4 linked regions of the Canis lupus familiaris genome follow. The protein of the gene in region 2 purifies or fractionates together with the protein of the main gene of each other region. This does not show direct contact. Links are inferred from orthologs where the notes say so. Each region holds a gene or a part of one and is shown on either strand. Other genes may lie near its edges. The genes, in order: LRRK2, TUBB, RICTOR and EEF1A1.

What was found.
Region 1: the proteins of TUBB (region 2) and LRRK2 purify together in Homo sapiens (co-immunoprecipitation; 5 studies listed by BioGRID and IntAct, with this or other methods). This does not show direct contact. The link is inferred for Canis lupus familiaris from reciprocal best matches to the Homo sapiens genes TUBB and LRRK2.
Region 3: the proteins of TUBB (region 2) and RICTOR purify together in Homo sapiens (affinity purification with mass spectrometry; 3 studies listed by BioGRID and IntAct, with this or other methods). This does not show direct contact. The link is inferred for Canis lupus familiaris from reciprocal best matches to the Homo sapiens genes TUBB and RICTOR.
Region 4: the proteins of TUBB (region 2) and EEF1A1 fractionate together in Homo sapiens (co-fractionation; 3 studies listed by BioGRID). This does not show direct contact. The link is inferred for Canis lupus familiaris from reciprocal best matches to the Homo sapiens genes TUBB and EEF1A1.

What each region holds. Positions count from the first base shown.
Region 1 is NC_049248.1:33,236,153-33,239,712, forward strand, and holds part of LRRK2 (leucine-rich repeat serine/threonine-protein kinase 2), read left to right. Parts: intron 1-89; coding exon 90-319; intron 320-747; coding exon 748-875; intron 876-2,478; coding exon 2,479-2,697; intron 2,698-3,560. UniProt on the Homo sapiens protein: Serine/threonine-protein kinase which phosphorylates a broad range of proteins involved in multiple processes such as neuronal plasticity, innate immunity, autophagy, and vesicle trafficking.
Region 2 is NC_049233.1:649,875-654,125, forward strand, and holds the start of TUBB (tubulin beta chain), read left to right. Parts: upstream 1-1,412; 5' UTR 1,413-1,612; coding exon 1,613-1,669; intron 1,670-2,975; coding exon 2,976-3,084; intron 3,085-3,304; coding exon 3,305-3,415; intron 3,416-3,709; coding exon 3,710-4,251. UniProt on the Homo sapiens protein: Tubulin is the major constituent of microtubules, a cylinder consisting of laterally associated linear protofilaments composed of alpha- and beta-tubulin heterodimers.
Region 3 is NC_049225.1:70,811,221-70,815,239, forward strand, and holds the start of RICTOR (rapamycin-insensitive companion of mTOR), read left to right. Parts: upstream 1-1,216; 5' UTR 1,217-1,268; coding exon 1,269-1,317; intron 1,318-1,487; coding exon 1,488-1,535; intron 1,536-2,186; exon of another isoform or gene 2,187-2,696; intron 2,697-4,019. UniProt on the Homo sapiens protein: Component of the mechanistic target of rapamycin complex 2 (mTORC2), which transduces signals from growth factors to pathways involved in proliferation, cytoskeletal organization, lipogenesis and anabolic output.
Region 4 is NC_049233.1:35,820,439-35,824,536, reverse strand, and holds the start of EEF1A1 (elongation factor 1-alpha 1), read left to right. Parts: upstream 1-1,257; intron 1,258-1,372; coding exon of another isoform or gene 1,373-1,481; intron 1,482-1,544; coding exon of another isoform or gene 1,545-1,645; intron 1,646-2,191; 5' UTR 2,192-2,225; coding exon 2,226-2,369; intron 2,370-2,632; coding exon 2,633-2,812; intron 2,813-2,926; coding exon 2,927-3,223; intron 3,224-3,324; coding exon 3,325-3,475; intron 3,476-3,561; coding exon 3,562-3,818; intron 3,819-3,896; coding exon 3,897-4,098. Other genes in the region: uncharacterized protein LOC119874198, read right to left, coding at 355-600, 927-1,257, 1,373-1,481, 1,545-1,645. UniProt on the Homo sapiens protein: Translation elongation factor that catalyzes the GTP-dependent binding of aminoacyl-tRNA (aa-tRNA) to the A-site of ribosomes during the elongation phase of protein synthesis.

The sequences.
Region 1 (3,560 bases), on a different chromosome or scaffold from region 2:
TTTAAAAATTTCAATGAATAAGAATTCACCTATATCTTAAGTACACTGTTAAGCAGTTTATCATTTAATTTTTGTTTTTCAAATACCAGGTTTCTTCAACAGCGGTTAAAAAAGGCTGTGCCCTATAACCGAATGAAGCTTATGATTGTGGGAAATACTGGGAGTGGTAAAACTACCTTATTGCAGCAATTAACAAAAACCAAGAAATCAGATCTCGGGGTGCAGAGTGCCACAGTTGGTATAGATGTAAAAGACTGGCCTATCCAAATAAGAGGCAAAGGGAAGAAAGACCTCATTCTAAATGTGTGGGATTTTGCAGGTATTTATTTTGCTAAAATCCTTTATTCAGAATTTTCTTTTATTTAGGACAGGGATTTAAAAGCTGAGATCTTATTCCAATACTGCAGAGAGACCCAGTAGATCCTATGGAATTATTCCAAAGCCATTTACTTCTAATTTTACCCTTGCCACCAGAGTGAATTTCATGGAATTCTGGTGTTAGGAACTAACAGTTGGAGCCAGCTGAAGCTTCAATACTTCAGGGGGTTGGTAATTGACACACACGCTAAAAGTTACCAACTCCTAGTACGAGCCCAATGGGGTCTTCTAAACATTGTCTTTGGCTATTTCTATCTCTCTCTCTTTTTGTATGCTAAATATTAGATATTATCACCTAAGAAAAAAACTTTTTAAAGGCTTCTTGCTTATTGTTTGGAAAGCTAAAAGAAGTCTCTAATCCTTCTTTAGGTCGTGAGGAATTCTACAGCACTCATCCCCACTTCATGACCCAACGAGCCCTTTACCTTGCTGTTTATGATCTCAGCAAAGGGCAGGCTGAAGTGGATGCCATGAAGCCTTGGCTCTTCAATATAAAGGTCAAGTGTTCTAATTATTTGAAAGTAGAAAATATTTTTTAGGGATGCCTGGGTGGCTTAGCGGTTGGGTGTCTGCCTTTGGCTCAGTGCATGATCCCGGGTTCCCGGGTTCAAGTCCCACATCAGGCTTGCTGCATGGAGCCTGCTTCTCCCTCTGCCCGTGTCTCTGCCTCTGTGTCTCTCATGGATAAATAAATAAAATCTTAATTTTTTAAAAAAATTTTCTACATGTAATGTAATTGATTTTGGACAGTTGCTTCAAACAGCCTCCTAAGTTTTTAAAAATAAAATTAGAAGCATTAACGTTTTGAGTTGAGAATTTTAAAGTGTAATTAGGTTGTGACATGAAAATAGTGTATTCCATATTGGTAAATGTTATGGATACTTAAAGCCCTTTAAGCTGAAAGAATGGAAAATGTATAACTATTTTTGATCATTTTATTTTATTTTATTTTTGAGGAGGGAGGGGCAGAGTGAAAGGGAGAGAGAATCCCAAGCAGCAGGCTTCATGCCCAGCGTGGAGCCTAATGCAGGGATCAATCTTAAAACCCTGAGATCATGACCTGAGCTGAGATCAAGAGTTAGATTCTTAACTGACTGAGCCACCTGGGCACCCTTGATCGTTTTATTTCTTAAATGGAGGATGAACTTCCCTGACTTAAACTATACTAAACAAAAGCAATCCATACATCATCAGTTATGTCCTCACTGGCAATGTAGTAAGAAGTACTTCAGATCTTGCACTTTTAAATGGCATCAGATTAATAAACTCTTATATCTGGAATCCCTTTTTGTAATTTTTCCACTTTGTCCCTTGCTGTCATGCTGTTAGGTGTTTCTTGATGTAGTACAGCTTTTTAGAATTGAGATAAAGCAAGAGTGAGTGATGTTCTTTGAATGAAGCATCAGTGGGCTCTCCTGTGAGCCAAGTCCTTAAAAGAGTTTGTGTCAGGACATTTTAGCAGATATTTTGGCTGCATACAAGCCCATTTTGTAATTTTGGTAATTTTTTTAACTTCCTTTTTTTTTGGGTCATAGCTAGCCAAAGTGAGCGAATATTATAGTGGTGGTCATACTTGCTCTAGTACCTTTTTTTGTTGTTGTTCCTGTGGACTCCAAATCGAATGACTTTAAAATGAATTCAGGAGATTGAATTTATAGATAAGGAAGAGAAAATATAAACCATATTATGTCATTTTGATATAGTCTTGGGTTTATTAAATGCTTATTTTATTTAGAAGTCCAAAATACACTTACAGAATAACCCATTTTAAGGCATAAAAGAAAAAAATAGACTTCTGTTATATAGGCTGCCTGAAAAGTGGTATAACTTGGAATAAGAAGGAGTATAAGAATGACTTTAAAATTTTTTAAGGTTAAAAGATAATAAAATAAAATAAAATAAAATAAAATAAAATTTCTTAAGGTTACCTTTTCCCCCTAAGTTTAAGGAAGGAAAGACAGTTGACATTTTCTTCTTCTTGATGTCTTTTAATTTCTAATTTCCACTCAACTGAATTTCATAAAGAGTAAATATGAACAGAACTGTAAGCGGTCTTGATTTTAAAACAAACACAAGAATATTTTGTATCACTTCCTATAGGCTCGTGCTTCTTCTTCCCCTGTGATCCTCGTTGGCACGCATTTGGATGTTTCTGATGAAAAGCAGCGTAAAGCCTGCATAAGTAAAATCACCAAGGAACTCTTGAACAAGCGAGGGTTTCCTGCAATAAGGGATTACCACTTTGTGAATGCCACTGAGGAATCTGATGCTTTGGCAAAACTTCGGAAAACCATCATAAATGAGAGTCTTAATTTTAAGGTAACGTGGTTAATGCCTTCTGTAGACTGGTGAATAAGTATAATTTATTAACTCTCATGTTACACAACTGTCAGAAGTCTTGAGAAGAGAACAACTGTCTTAAAATTGTGAGTTTTTTTCATAGCTGTTAGGATTACTAAAGTATTTCAATTTTAAGGTTTCTTACTTCTGTCATTCCTCATTTCAAATGCATAGAAATGGGAATAAAACTAATTAGAGGATCCTGAAGGAAACGAATGTCTGAGAGGCTGAATGTTTCTGAGAGAATCTGAGAACGTGTTTCTGATGCCCTTTCTCTCACAACTTTTTGTAGTGATAATTCAGCCAAAGAATACGAGTGAATATTGGGGTCTCAGGATCATCTTTCCTCTATTCTTTGTTCTTTCTCCACTTGCTCCTTTCTTTTGGAGTTTCTCTTTTATGTACACCCTGATCTGTGCTTCCTTCACATCTCTTATCAGTGTGATACCCATTCCACATGTTTTTCTTCCCTCAGTATTGTGAGATGGCTCTTTCATGAGGTTGCCAAGATTGTGAATTTGATTTTCAACAATGTCTAAGCAATTTTTTAGTCCATATAAACTGGGTTTTCAATTTTATTTATTTTTAAAGACTTTATTTATGTTTTTGACAAAAGAGAGAGGGAGAGAGTGTGTGCATAGTAGGGGGAGAAGCAGAGAAAGAGGGAGAAGCTGACTCCCCACTGAGCAGGGACCCCAATGTAGGGCTCAAACCCCAGGACCCCAAGATCATGACCTGAGCTGAAGGCAGACACTTGACTGAGCCACCCAGGTGCCCTTGGGTTTTCTACTTTAGAAATTACGTTTTGATTTCCAAAGTTCTAGTAAGCCAAATATAATTCA
Region 2 (4,251 bases):
CCCGATGTGGGACTCGACTCCGTGTCTCCAGGATCACGCCCTGCGAAGGCGCGCTAAACCGCTGAGCCACCAGGGCTGCCCTAAGAACCCCTTTTGATGGGGGAACAGAGGACTGGCTGAGGACAAAGCACAAGCCCAGGGCAGCACATTGACAAGCCCTTGAAACAGGCAGAGGGACCTTCCTCTACGGACTCAACTGCCTCGATGTTCATACTTTGCTAAGGAGAAAAGGCAATCTTAGCCCAACCCCCAGGATCCTGTAAGTCTTTTTAACATAAAAATTCCTTTAGAAAGATCCTTTATCTAAACCCACAAGATACATGTTGGCAATCATCCCCTAAGCACATGGCCCACCCACACACATCTAAAGGGTCTCACGAATCAGGTTTTATTAGCCGGTAATAAGTGACCTTTTCCCAACAATAGCTGGTCCCCTCAAGGTCCTGGAAACCTTGCTTCCAAATTCCTTAGAGAGTACGCTATCCTCAAACCCCTCCCAACTCCCAGGTATATAATCAGCCACCCCTCACCGGGCAGCAGCTCTTCCTGCCCACGGGTCCTGTCCCCCTGCTTTAATAAAACCACCATTTTGCACCAAAGATGTCTCAAGAATCCTTTCTTGGTCGTCGGCTCCGAACCTCACCTTATAATTCCAAAAACTTCATCACTTTCATGGATAGACTTCTGACTTCACAGATTCTACATACCAGCTTTTCTAAACCATTCAATTTATTTGAACACACCCTCAATTACATCTCTACTCTGAAAACCTATTGCTGCATTTTTGTTTCTCTTTCTAAACATTATCATTAGAAAATTTCCAAGGAAATAACAGGAGGGCCATCCCGTTTTTCCTATCTGGGGGAGCAGCGGCTTCCTGGATTTCATGCCGTGGGTCACCGAAGGACCCGCTGTTTGCTACCAGAGCAGGGTGCCGCATTTCTCCCCAGTTTTAGCTGAGCTAAGCAGCCCTCTTACCAAGAGCTACCGCAGCAGGGAACGTTCAGGGCGTGCCCACTTCGCCTTCCAACTCCTGGCACCCCAGGGTTCCCAATGCCTGTATCCCCCCCAAATGACTCCCTTTTAGTACAAAAAACTCAAGTGTAGGGGAAAGAAATTTGCGCAAGGTCATTTTTCATTAAAAAACAACAACAAGGCCAACTCTACCCCCCCCCCAACCAAAAATCCAGTATCCACTCATCCCTCCCTTCATTTTCCAGCGTAGACAACAATGGAGGACTACGACTCCCAGGGAGGCCAGCGTTCATCCACCCGAGCGGAGCCCAATAGACGAGACCTACGTGACCGGCACTGACCAATCGGGGCCCACTCCAGCGAGGCTTTGTCTGCCTGCCGCGGCGCGGGCGCTCTCCCGCCTGCAGCCTCCGCGCACGCGCGCCCCGCCCTGCCCGCCTTTCCTCCTTCTTCGCCCTCCCCGCTTCTTTCTACATCTCAACGTTCCTGTCGCTGCGCTCGGACCTCGTTGCTCCAGCCTCTGGACGCGTCCCATCCTTCCAGCCTGCGAATTGCAGTATAGGAAAAAACCCCATCTCACTTTCTGCCCCGTACACACCTTTGAGAGAAGCAAAAAGAATTAAAATAAATTTTAACAATGAGGGAAATCGTGCACATCCAGGCCGGTCAGTGTGGTAACCAGATCGGTGCCAAGGTAAGGATTTTAAGCCTTTTCTTTTAACTATTTTTTTTTTAGAAGAAAAACAAATCCAGCTAAATGATGAAGAATGTGGGACATATTTGCGTTCCATCCATTGTCCCGCTTTGCCCTCAAAAGTTTTCCATATACAATACACGGTTGCAGCTAGAATTTACTTTTGAAAAATGGGGGAATTGTACTTGGCTGGCTAATTTTGGGTGAGCTTTTGAGGACGTTTCGGGTTTGGAGTCGGAAGACTGGCTCTTTAAAATTTTACTTGAAAGTGTTGTAGTGGTCCGAGGAACGGGGAGAGAGGAGATGCGGAAACGGTCCGAGATACAGCGCGGAGAGGCTGTCCCCGTGTGCATCCCCTCCGCGGGGGGGGGCCCGGCTCCACGGAAGGGAGGGGGACAGGGAGCGCGGCTGGGCGGCGGCCGCGGGGTCCTGGGCCCACGGTGGGGAGGGGGGCGCGACGCGCCAGGGTGGGCTGCACCGCGCGGTGCCCGCCCCAAAAATGAGGGCAGTCCGCGAGGGGCGGTCCCGTAGGCCCTTGTGGATGGAAGATTGGTCCCTGCAGTATTAATTTCCTTTCATCTCCAGTAAAGAGACCCTTTTAGGGCGTGCACCGATATGGAGAAAGAGGGCGGGAGGATCCTTTTCTTTCAAGGGTCCCTCAGGGCTAAACGGTGGGAGAAGGGCCGAGAAGCCGTACTTAAAGCCAGGTATAACAAGCTAGCCAAGGAAGAAAATCGGAGGCTCAAGCGGGAGGTGGGGGTAGTTTCTTTTTCTGCGCGCGGTTACAGTGTGGCGGGGGCAGGGCAGGGAGGAAGTCCTGCTGCTACGTTGTAGCCCGGGGCTGGGCGGGGCGGGGCGGGGCTCCAAGCGCCGGGCTGGCCGGCTGGGGGCGCGCTAGCGGCACAGGCCCCCGCCCACGCGCGACGCCTCCCTTTGTCAGCGCCGACGGGCGGGCGCCGCAGTCACGTGGAGGGGCGTCCACTGCGGCGGCTTCTGTCCCTCGCCCCGGCTCGTGCGCGGGGGGAGGGTGTGCCGGTCGGCTCGGCTCGGAAGCCTCCGCCCGGCACACCCCCACCGCACCGCGTCCACCGGTCGCCGGGCCTCCGCGGCTGCACCCGAGCAGTGGACGCTGCAGCCCTTAGGGGGCTGCGGGTGTCTGGTGGAGGGCGCGGCAGGCAAGCAGAGCGCCCGGTAGGCGGCGGAGGTGCGCTCTCCGTGTGCGTGTTTGCACTTGAAATGTGTCGGTCGGGTGGGCATCACTGGCTGGGACCAGAGCTGTGCAAGTCTCCCTGCTCTTCCTCGGCAGTTCTGGGAGGTCATCAGCGATGAACACGGCATCGATCCCACCGGAACCTACCACGGTGACAGCGACCTGCAGCTGGATCGCATCTCCGTGTATTACAACGAAGCTACAGGTGAGGGCGGGAACGGGGAACGCGGGGCTCCCACTTCTCCGGGGTCTCCTTTCCAGCCCTGGAGAACCCACCTTGGGATGGGTCTGATTTTTAAAGAAGGTCTTACCCTGATTTGACTTCACGGTGGGGCAAAAGATCAGCTCTGCTGCCCCCTGGTGTCCTCCAGCTCAGCTCCATTTGGTCTTCTAGTCCACCAATTCTTATTCTTTCTTCCATATAGGTGGCAAATACGTACCTCGTGCTATCTTGGTGGATCTAGAACCTGGGACCATGGACTCTGTTCGCTCTGGTCCTTTTGGGCAGATATTCAGACCAGACAACTTTGTTTTTGGTGAGTTATGCACATATTAGTAGTGCTATTCAGTGTATTTGAAGGAAGGAGACTGCAAGAGCTAAGAAGTTATTTTTAATGCTGGAGCGTTTATCTGGGGATATGTTTTGAGATCTCTAACGCAGGGTGTTGGGAATGACCGCCTTAGATGGTAGATACTGAGGCAGGGATGTATCACAGGTGAGTAAGAAAAAAGGCACATTCGTGTATGTTATTTTAAAAGCTGAAGAGTGGAAATGGTCCTTTATCTTTGATGCTTTGCTAATAAAGAGAATTTTGTTCACCTCATTCCAGGGCAGTCTGGGGCTGGCAACAACTGGGCCAAGGGCCACTACACAGAGGGGGCTGAGCTAGTGGACTCAGTCCTGGATGTGGTGCGGAAGGAAGCTGAGAGCTGTGACTGCCTGCAGGGCTTCCAGCTGACCCACTCACTGGGTGGGGGCACAGGCTCTGGCATGGGCACGCTGCTCATCAGCAAGATCCGAGAAGAGTACCCTGACCGCATCATGAACACCTTCAGTGTGGTGCCCTCCCCCAAAGTGTCTGACACGGTGGTTGAGCCCTACAATGCCACTCTCTCTGTCCATCAGTTGGTAGAGAACACGGATGAGACCTATTGCATTGACAATGAGGCCCTGTACGACATCTGCTTCCGCACCCTCAAGCTGACCACGCCAACCTATGGGGACCTCAACCACCTTGTCTCAGCCACCATGAGTGGTGTCACCACCTGCCTCCGCTTCCCTGGTCAGCTCAATGCTGACCTCCGCAAGCTGGCAGTCAACATGGTGCCCTTCCCACGTCTCCATTTCTTCATGCCTGGCTTTGCACCTCTA
Region 3 (4,019 bases), on a different chromosome or scaffold from region 2:
TGGTTGTAATAATTTGCATAATCCCTACGTTTGGTCACGTTTGCAATTGCTCACCATGATTCACAACGGCAAATGTTATCTCCAGTCTTGCTTTTTTTTGTTTTTTTTTTTCCTTAAGTAACGCAAAAAAGAGCACTGGAACAAAGGAACCCAAGGCACTTATTATTCATCGAACTTATTATTTATTGAATGCTTATTTATCCTGGACATTGCACGACCTGGGAGGAGAGAGGTCGTTAAAGCAGGAGCTCCACTGTTTAACTTCCAGTCTCTTGTGATTTAAAAAAGAAAAAACAACCACACACACACACCAAGTTGGGGAATAGGAGGCGGCACGAGGCTCACCCGGTCTTGAAAGTTCGTGCACTTTAAAGAGAAGGCTGCTGGGTCAGAGGCCAGGTGTCTGTGTATGGACTGGGTGAAGCAGTTTCTGGAATTGAAAGCTCCACCGCGAGTAACGACTGGGTTTCCGCGCGGACAATGCGAAGCCGCCACCCCTCCGGGGGCCGGGCTCGGGCCGCACGCCCCGGGGAGCCGGAGCCGGAGCCGCCCGCCGCCCCCGGGTCCCCCCGCGCCGCCCCCGGGTCCCCCCGCGCCGCCCCGCGCCCTCCGCTTCCCGCCTCCCTCCCGCCGGCGGCCCGGGACCGAGCGCCCGCCCGGCCGCCCCCTTGGACCGAGTGTGGCTCGGAAGCCCCAAGCGCAGGCTGCTTCGCGCGCGGCGGTCGCGGCCGAGGGCGGAAACCAAGTTGGCTTAACGCGCCGAGTCGGCCGCAGCGAAGCGGTCCGGGAAGGGCCCGCGCCAGGCGACGCCGCGCAGCTGTGCCCGTGCAGAGCGCACGGGGTCTCGACTGGCGAGCGGCGAGGGCAGGGCTGCTCCCGGCTCGCCTCGGCTCCCGTTACAGTCCCCGCCGCCCCGGAGGGGGAGCGTCTTCCACGCGGCAGGCCCCGTCAATGGGATTCCCCTCGTGGGCACTGCCGCCTCCCGGCACGCGGGCTCTCGGAGGGCCGGGCGCGCCGGGGGGGGGGGGGGGGGCGCGCGCCGCGAGCTGCACCGAGCCCCGGGGTGGGCGCCGCGCCCCTGCTCGCCCCTCCTCGCCCCTCCTCGCCCTCCTCGCCCCTCCTCGCCCCGGGCCGAGCCCCCGCCGCCGCCGCCGCCGCGCGCGCGGAGGGGGGCTGTGGGGGAGGGGGCGGGCGCGGCGCGCGGGGCAGGGAAGGGGTTCTCGCGCGATCGGGCGAGGTTTCCGGTGTTGTGACTGAAACCCGTCAATATGGCGGCGATCGGCCGCGGCCGCTCGCTGAAGAACCTCCGAATACGAGGTAAGCCCGCTGCAACCCTCCCCCCCACTGCCTGGGGCCCGCGACCCCTGGCCCCGGCCTCCCCCTGGCCTCGGGCAGGCGGGGCCCTCAGGGGCGCTGGCCGGAGCCGGGGCCGCCGCCGCCGGCCTGCGAGCGCGTCCTAACCGGAGCTGTGTGTCTGTTTCGCACAGGGCGGAATGACAGCGGCGAGGAGAACGTCCCGCTGGATCTGACCCGAGGTAACGCGGGGCGCCGCGGGCGCCGGCCGGGGCGCGCTGTGGGGAGGGGCCGGGGGCGGGGGCCGGGGCCGGGGCCGGGGGCCGGGGGCAGGGGCGGGCCCCGCGCGGGCGGCGGGGGCGCGGGAGGCAGAGCCCGAGCCCGAGCCCGAGCCCGAGCCCGAGCCCGGGGCCGCCTCCCGGGACCCATCCCCCTTCCCAGTGCCCGCGCCCCGCGCCCCGCGCCTTTCTCCGGGCCTCCGGGTGCGGCGGGCGCCGGCCCACGCCGAGCGGGACTCCGCGGGGCGGGCGACCCCCGGGGCTCTCCGCACCCCCGCCCGGAGGCGGCCGGCGGGAGGTCGGGCTGTTACTTAGGCTGCCGGAGGATGTCGGAGGGAAGAGCGACCACATCCTGCCCTCCCCGTCCCCCCGCGCGGCGGCCGGACCTGCCGGGTCCTTGCCGGCCCGCGCCGCTGCTTTCCTCCTTGCCCCCCGGCCCCGGGCGGTGGGGGGGGGGGGCAGCGTGGCTGACTCGGCAGTGACCCCTGGAATCGGGGACTGCGGCTCGGTGTCTGGGCTGCGCCGGCGGTCCATGCCCGCTTCCCGTGCCCGGGCGGCTGGGACCGTAGTTGGCCGAGACCGCCCCCTCACCCTCGCCGCAGGTTCATTGTTTACCTTCTGCCGCGGCGGCGGGTTTGTTTACACCTTGGGAACGGGGCGAACCCCGCGCTGGCGTTTGGAAGGACCCGGTCCAGCTACTGGCCAGCGAATCTCCCGTGTAGTTCACCGTGCTGGAGTCTGTTCGACAGTATCTCGCCCAAGATGTAGTAGTTACACGCCAAGGATTTTTTTCTTTCTTTTCTTTCTTTCTTTCTTTATTTCTTTTTTTTTCCCCCCTTCCACCGTAAACAGGATTTGGTCTACTGATGCCAAAGAAGTCCGATTTCACACTGGCTGTAGCCGAGTGTAAACTGGTTCGGCTGCCTGAGAATCGGCTTCCTTTCTGAGATCTGAAAAACACTTTAGGAAGTCCGAGTCGTAAACATTTTATTAGAAATTCGAAAAATCTAACCCGTGTGCTGCTTGACGCAACGACTGTTATCTAAAGTATTTGTCAGACGCAGGCCCATTGTTGAGGCTCATCCCTGGTATTTAAAGCATAATGCATTATCTGGCTTGCCTTATTTTGTCTGTCCTAGGGTAAGATAACTGTGTCATCAACTAAACAGCTACTTTCCATGTAGCTGCCAGAGTACGTTTTTGTAAGAATCTTTCATTCTGAAAGTTCAGGGACTTTGCTTTGGCCGAAACTAGGTGCTGGTGTGACAGGCAGAAAGGGTTTCTACCGATGCACTGAATTGGAACTTCTTTCAGCAGATAGGGTTTGAGTGTTAGTATACAAAGATGTAAACGCTTTTGACTGTTGTGTAACCTTTTGGAAACCTCACTATATAAAACACACACGAAAAAAATCTATGTAAAATGTGTGTGGGGAAAAGATTTTCTAGTAAGTTTCCTTACAAAAACGAAATTCCCACGGAGTTGAAAATTAGCATTTGAGTTCTGTAACAGATGTGCTTTATTAGTGATTTAATTTCTATGTGGGCATATGCGTCTATATGGTGAAAAGAGCATTTATTAGATCTTCTGTCTCAATTTCACGTTAAAAGCTTGTTGGGATGTGGTGCTGAAAACAAGTTATATTTGTGCCTTAGGTTTGCTGAGCTGCTATATATAGTAGTTTCTGTGGTTGGTATCAAAATTTTGGTTTGTAAAAGAGCTCATGTACAAATTTGATAAACCCTTGATTTACTCCAATCTTACTCAAGTACACAGATAACTCTGTATGTTTACTATTTAAAATGTCATATGCCCGGAGCACTTTGTGAACACCATTGTTGACAGGCATTTTTAGGATGATGCAAAAGGCAGAAGAAAATGGTATTTCTGCTTGCCCTGACAAAATACAAATTAGTTTGGAATATACACAGCCAATTGCAATGGATTGCAAAAGACATATGCAAATAAGAGAGGCTATATAGGAATAAAACATTCATTATATAGGGAAGTTATAGAAGTACTAGTAGATCTAAGGTGATGAAAATCACAAAGAATTACACTTTTGTAATAGTTTGAGAACTATAGGGCAGTTTGGGTTGCAGCCGAAGGGCAGCTGTTTGTGGATTGGATTACGGTATGTTTTAGATAAGATTGGGTAACCAAAACTAGGTTTTTAATGCGAAGGCAGTGTTTGCCCTCATTTTAATTGTTCTATGCAACCTTTGAGAAGTTCGTTAATGTAGCTATCTCACAAAGTTCATCATTAAATAGAGGTCATGGTCATTGTAATTCCTAAAGGAGCCAATCAATGTATAGTGAAAAGAGATCAGACTGTAAAGTCAAATAGTTCTGGGTTGTAATCTCAGCTAGGATCCTTAATAGTTAGGTGATGTGGGGCAAGTTATTTGACCTTGCTTAACTCTTGGTTTCTTCATCTCAGAGAGAACT
Region 4 (4,098 bases), about 35 Mb from region 2:
CTCAAATGGAGTTAAAATCCATTTAACAGAAAATGAACTAATTTATTTAAATGGGCTAGGCCACCTTTAAGAAGCAGTGATTCGCAGCAAGTGTTGGGGATAGGAAATTGGGTGGATAAGCTTGCTGAAGCCGTAGATCTTAGTTTCTACTTGAGATCATGCGGAAAGACTGAATTTGAAAAATTCTTTTTAGGTTGCTCATGCTAGCAATCAAATGAGTGTACACTGTAGAAAAAATGTACCACGAGAGTAGACACACATAGGGTCTTTCTATAACGTAATGAAACTAGAGTTAAAAGGCAGACTGTGGGATTGAAATCTATTCTGAACTGAAGAACTAGACGTCTGGAGTACCATATGGGGTGAACGTGTGACTCGGGCTTCGGTAAAAGCAGCGGGCTCGGACTGGAACAAGCCAAAAGGCTAGCCCAAGAGCACATTCGTCCGGGTCACGGCCACCGAGTTGAAACCCTTGCGGATTCTCCGGCTGTGAAGGCGGCCCCTCGGGTCCCTCGCTGCCCTGGGAGCCCGGGCCTTGTACTCTCCAGCCCCGAGAGGAAGAGAAGGCAGGGGCGAGGGAGGAGCCAGCCCAGGGCGGACCTGCGACGAGCGGAGGAAGCGGCTCAAAGGGGCAGTCCTGGACCTTGGAGAGGACCAGGTTAAGAACTGGAGGTATACTGCGGAGGGAAGGCGTACTCCAATCGCCACACCATCTTTGCAGTTAAACCAGGAACCGTAGAGGGCAGATTCAGTACTTCCCCGCAGGGCCGCCTCCTCGCCCCCCCGCCCGCCCCTTCAGCTGGAGCTGAGAGTAATTCATACAAAGGAGGACTCGCTTCAGCCTCGGGGAATCCCAGGGACCGTCGTTAAACTCTCACTAACATAGAACGAGCGGAAAGCTCGTCCCCGCCTCCCCACCCACTCACTCTCGCCGTCATCGGGGTCAAGAGGAGCATGCGCGAGGAGATGTGCGCTCTTTAGTGGGCTGAGCGCACATCGCCCACGGTCCCCGAGCAGTAGGGGGAGGGGATGGCGACCGAACCGGTGCCTGATGGAGTTGGCGCGGGGTAAACTGGGAAAGTGGTGTCGTGTGCTGGCTCCGCCCTCTTCCCCGAGGGTGGGGGAGGACCGTATATAAGTGCCGTAGCCGCCTTGAACGTTCTTTTTCGCAACGGGTTTGCCGCCAGAACACAGGTGAGTGCCGGGTGTGGCTCCCGCGGGCCTGGCCTCTTTGAGCTGCCAGCGGCCCTCGCGTGCCTTTTACAACGGCCGCGCCACCGAGCCACTTTACGATGTTCTTGACCCCGAATTTCGGATTGTGAGTGGGTGGGAAGGTTCCAGGCCTTGCGCCTTTTTTTAGGACCCCTTTTGCCTCGTGGTTGGTTTGAGGCCTGGCTTGGGTGTTGTGGCGGCCGCGTGCGAATTCCGCCGCACCTTCTTGCCTGCCCTCGTACAGTGGTTTAAGCCTCCAGACGTTTGACCTACCAAAAGAAGGCCGCTATGGTTTTCTCCGTCGAGATGGTTGAGCGGAGGTTGGTCAGGACTTGAACGGGGTGGGCTTTTCCGCGGTCGTCGCGTTCTTGGGGTGTGGGGCCGCCGCGAGGCGCGGAGGGCGGCGACGAGGCCCGCTCGTCCCGGCGCACATGTCCGACGAGGCGGGGAAGGCCCACGAGCCGTGGGCGCCGCGTCGGACGCGGGAGAGTCCCGTGGAGTGGGCCGGGCGGCTCTGGTGCCGGGCCTCGCGCCGCGATGTACCGTCCTACGCCGGGCGGAGAGGCCGGCCCGCTCGGCACCAGTTGCGTGCGCGGAAAGATGGCCGCTCTCCGGCCCTGCTGCAGGCAGCTCAAAATGGAGGACGCGGCGGCCCGGGAGAGCGGGCGGGTGAGTCACCCACACAAAGGAAAAGGGCCTTTCCCTGTTAGGCCGCTGCTTCCTGTGACCCTACGGTGTACCGAACGCCGTCTTGGCACCTCCATTCCGCCTCAACGCCTTACAAGCAGGCCTTCCCCGGAGGGGGGAGGGGATTTTATGCGGTGGAGTTAACCCCACGCTTGGTGGGTGGAGACGAGAGTTGGGCCAGCTTGGCCCTGGTTGTAATTCTTGGAATTTGGTCTCTGCGAGTTTGGTCGTGGCTTATTTTCAAGCCTCCGGGACAGTAGTTAAAAGGGTTTGTTCCTACCCTAAAATTTAGGTGTCGTGAAAACCACCGCTAAACCTAAACCAAAATGGGAAAGGAGAAGACTCACATCAACATCGTCGTCATTGGACACGTAGATTCGGGCAAGTCTACCACTACTGGCCATCTGATCTACAAATGTGGTGGGATCGACAAAAGAACTATCGAAAAATTTGAGAAGGAGGCTGCTGAGGTTGGTATACTAACTTAATGAGAGATCGTTAAAAAAAAGTCGGCCAGTGTCAACTTCCCCAAAACTAGTTACTAGTCTATCAGAATCTGCTGCTTGTGGTAGATTGTTTGTGCTTGCTGAAGAGTTTTTTATCTATGTAACTTTGGGAGATAGAACTACCTAACTGTAAAGTGGAATCCGCATTTCTGCTTAAGCAGGAGTTAGGGATTTCAAGTTGGAAGTTTGTGTTTAAGTTACCAAGTAACCATTCTTAATCCTTACAGATGGGAAAAGGCTCCTTCAAGTATGCCTGGGTCTTGGATAAACTGAAAGCTGAACGTGAACGTGGTATCACCATTGATATCTCCCTGTGGAAATTCGAGACCAGCAAGTATTACGTGACCATCATTGATGCCCCAGGACACAGAGACTTTATCAAAAACATGATTACAGGCACATCTCAGGTTTGTAGGATTACTTGAAAATAACTGTAGGCTTGGGTTTTGTATGGGAAAAAAGGGGGAGTTCATCTTTTTGAGGAACATTTATTTAACAGGATGTCTTTTTGTCTTTTAAAGGCTGACTGTGCTGTCCTGATTGTTGCTGCTGGTGTTGGTGAATTTGAAGCAGGTATCTCCAAGAATGGGCAGACCCGTGAGCATGCCCTTCTGGCTTACACACTGGGTGTAAAACAACTAATTGTTGGTGTTAACAAAATGGATTCCACTGAACCACCCTACAGCCAGAAGAGATACGAGGAAATCGTTAAAGAAGTCAGCACCTACATTAAGAAAATTGGCTACAACCCCGACACAGTAGCATTTGTGCCAATTTCTGGTTGGAATGGTGACAACATGCTGGAGCCAAGTGCTAACGTAAGTGACTTCAAGGCTTTGAGGAAGTGATAGAAGAGGCATATGTTGACACTAAATGACAACAGTTTGGGGAATGCTAATGGACAATCTTGTTTTTTTAGATGCCTTGGTTCAAGGGATGGAAAGTCACCCGTAAAGATGGGAATGCCAGCGGAACCACACTGCTTGAAGCCCTGGATTGCATTCTGCCACCAACTCGTCCAACTGATAAGCCCTTGCGTCTGCCTCTCCAAGACGTCTACAAAATTGGTGGTAAGTTGAACATTGCCATTTAAAAATACGATTTATGGATTGTTCTTCACAGAAGGTATCTGACACGATGCTTCTAAATATTTTAGGTATTGGTACTGTCCCAGTGGGTCGAGTGGAGACTGGTGTTCTTAAGCCTGGTATGGTGGTCACCTTTGCTCCAGTCAATGTTACAACTGAAGTAAAGTCTGTTGAAATGCACCATGAAGCTTTGAGTGAGGCTCTTCCTGGGGACAATGTGGGCTTCAATGTCAAGAACGTATCTGTCAAAGATGTTCGTCGTGGCAATGTGGCTGGTGACAGCAAAAATGACCCACCAATGGAAGCAGCTGGCTTCACAGCTCAGGTAACACACTTAAGAGTGGCAATGTTCTCTTTGCTAGATCCTGTTTGAAATGTATTAAATGCAATTTTTTCCTCCAAGGTGATTATCCTGAACCATCCAGGCCAAATCAGTGCTGGATATGCACCTGTGCTGGATTGTCACACAGCTCACATTGCCTGCAAGTTTGCTGAGCTGAAGGAAAAGATAGATCGTCGTTCTGGAAAGAAGCTGGAAGATGGTCCCAAGTTCTTGAAATCTGGGGATGCTGCCATTGTTGATATGGTTCCTGGCAAACCTATGT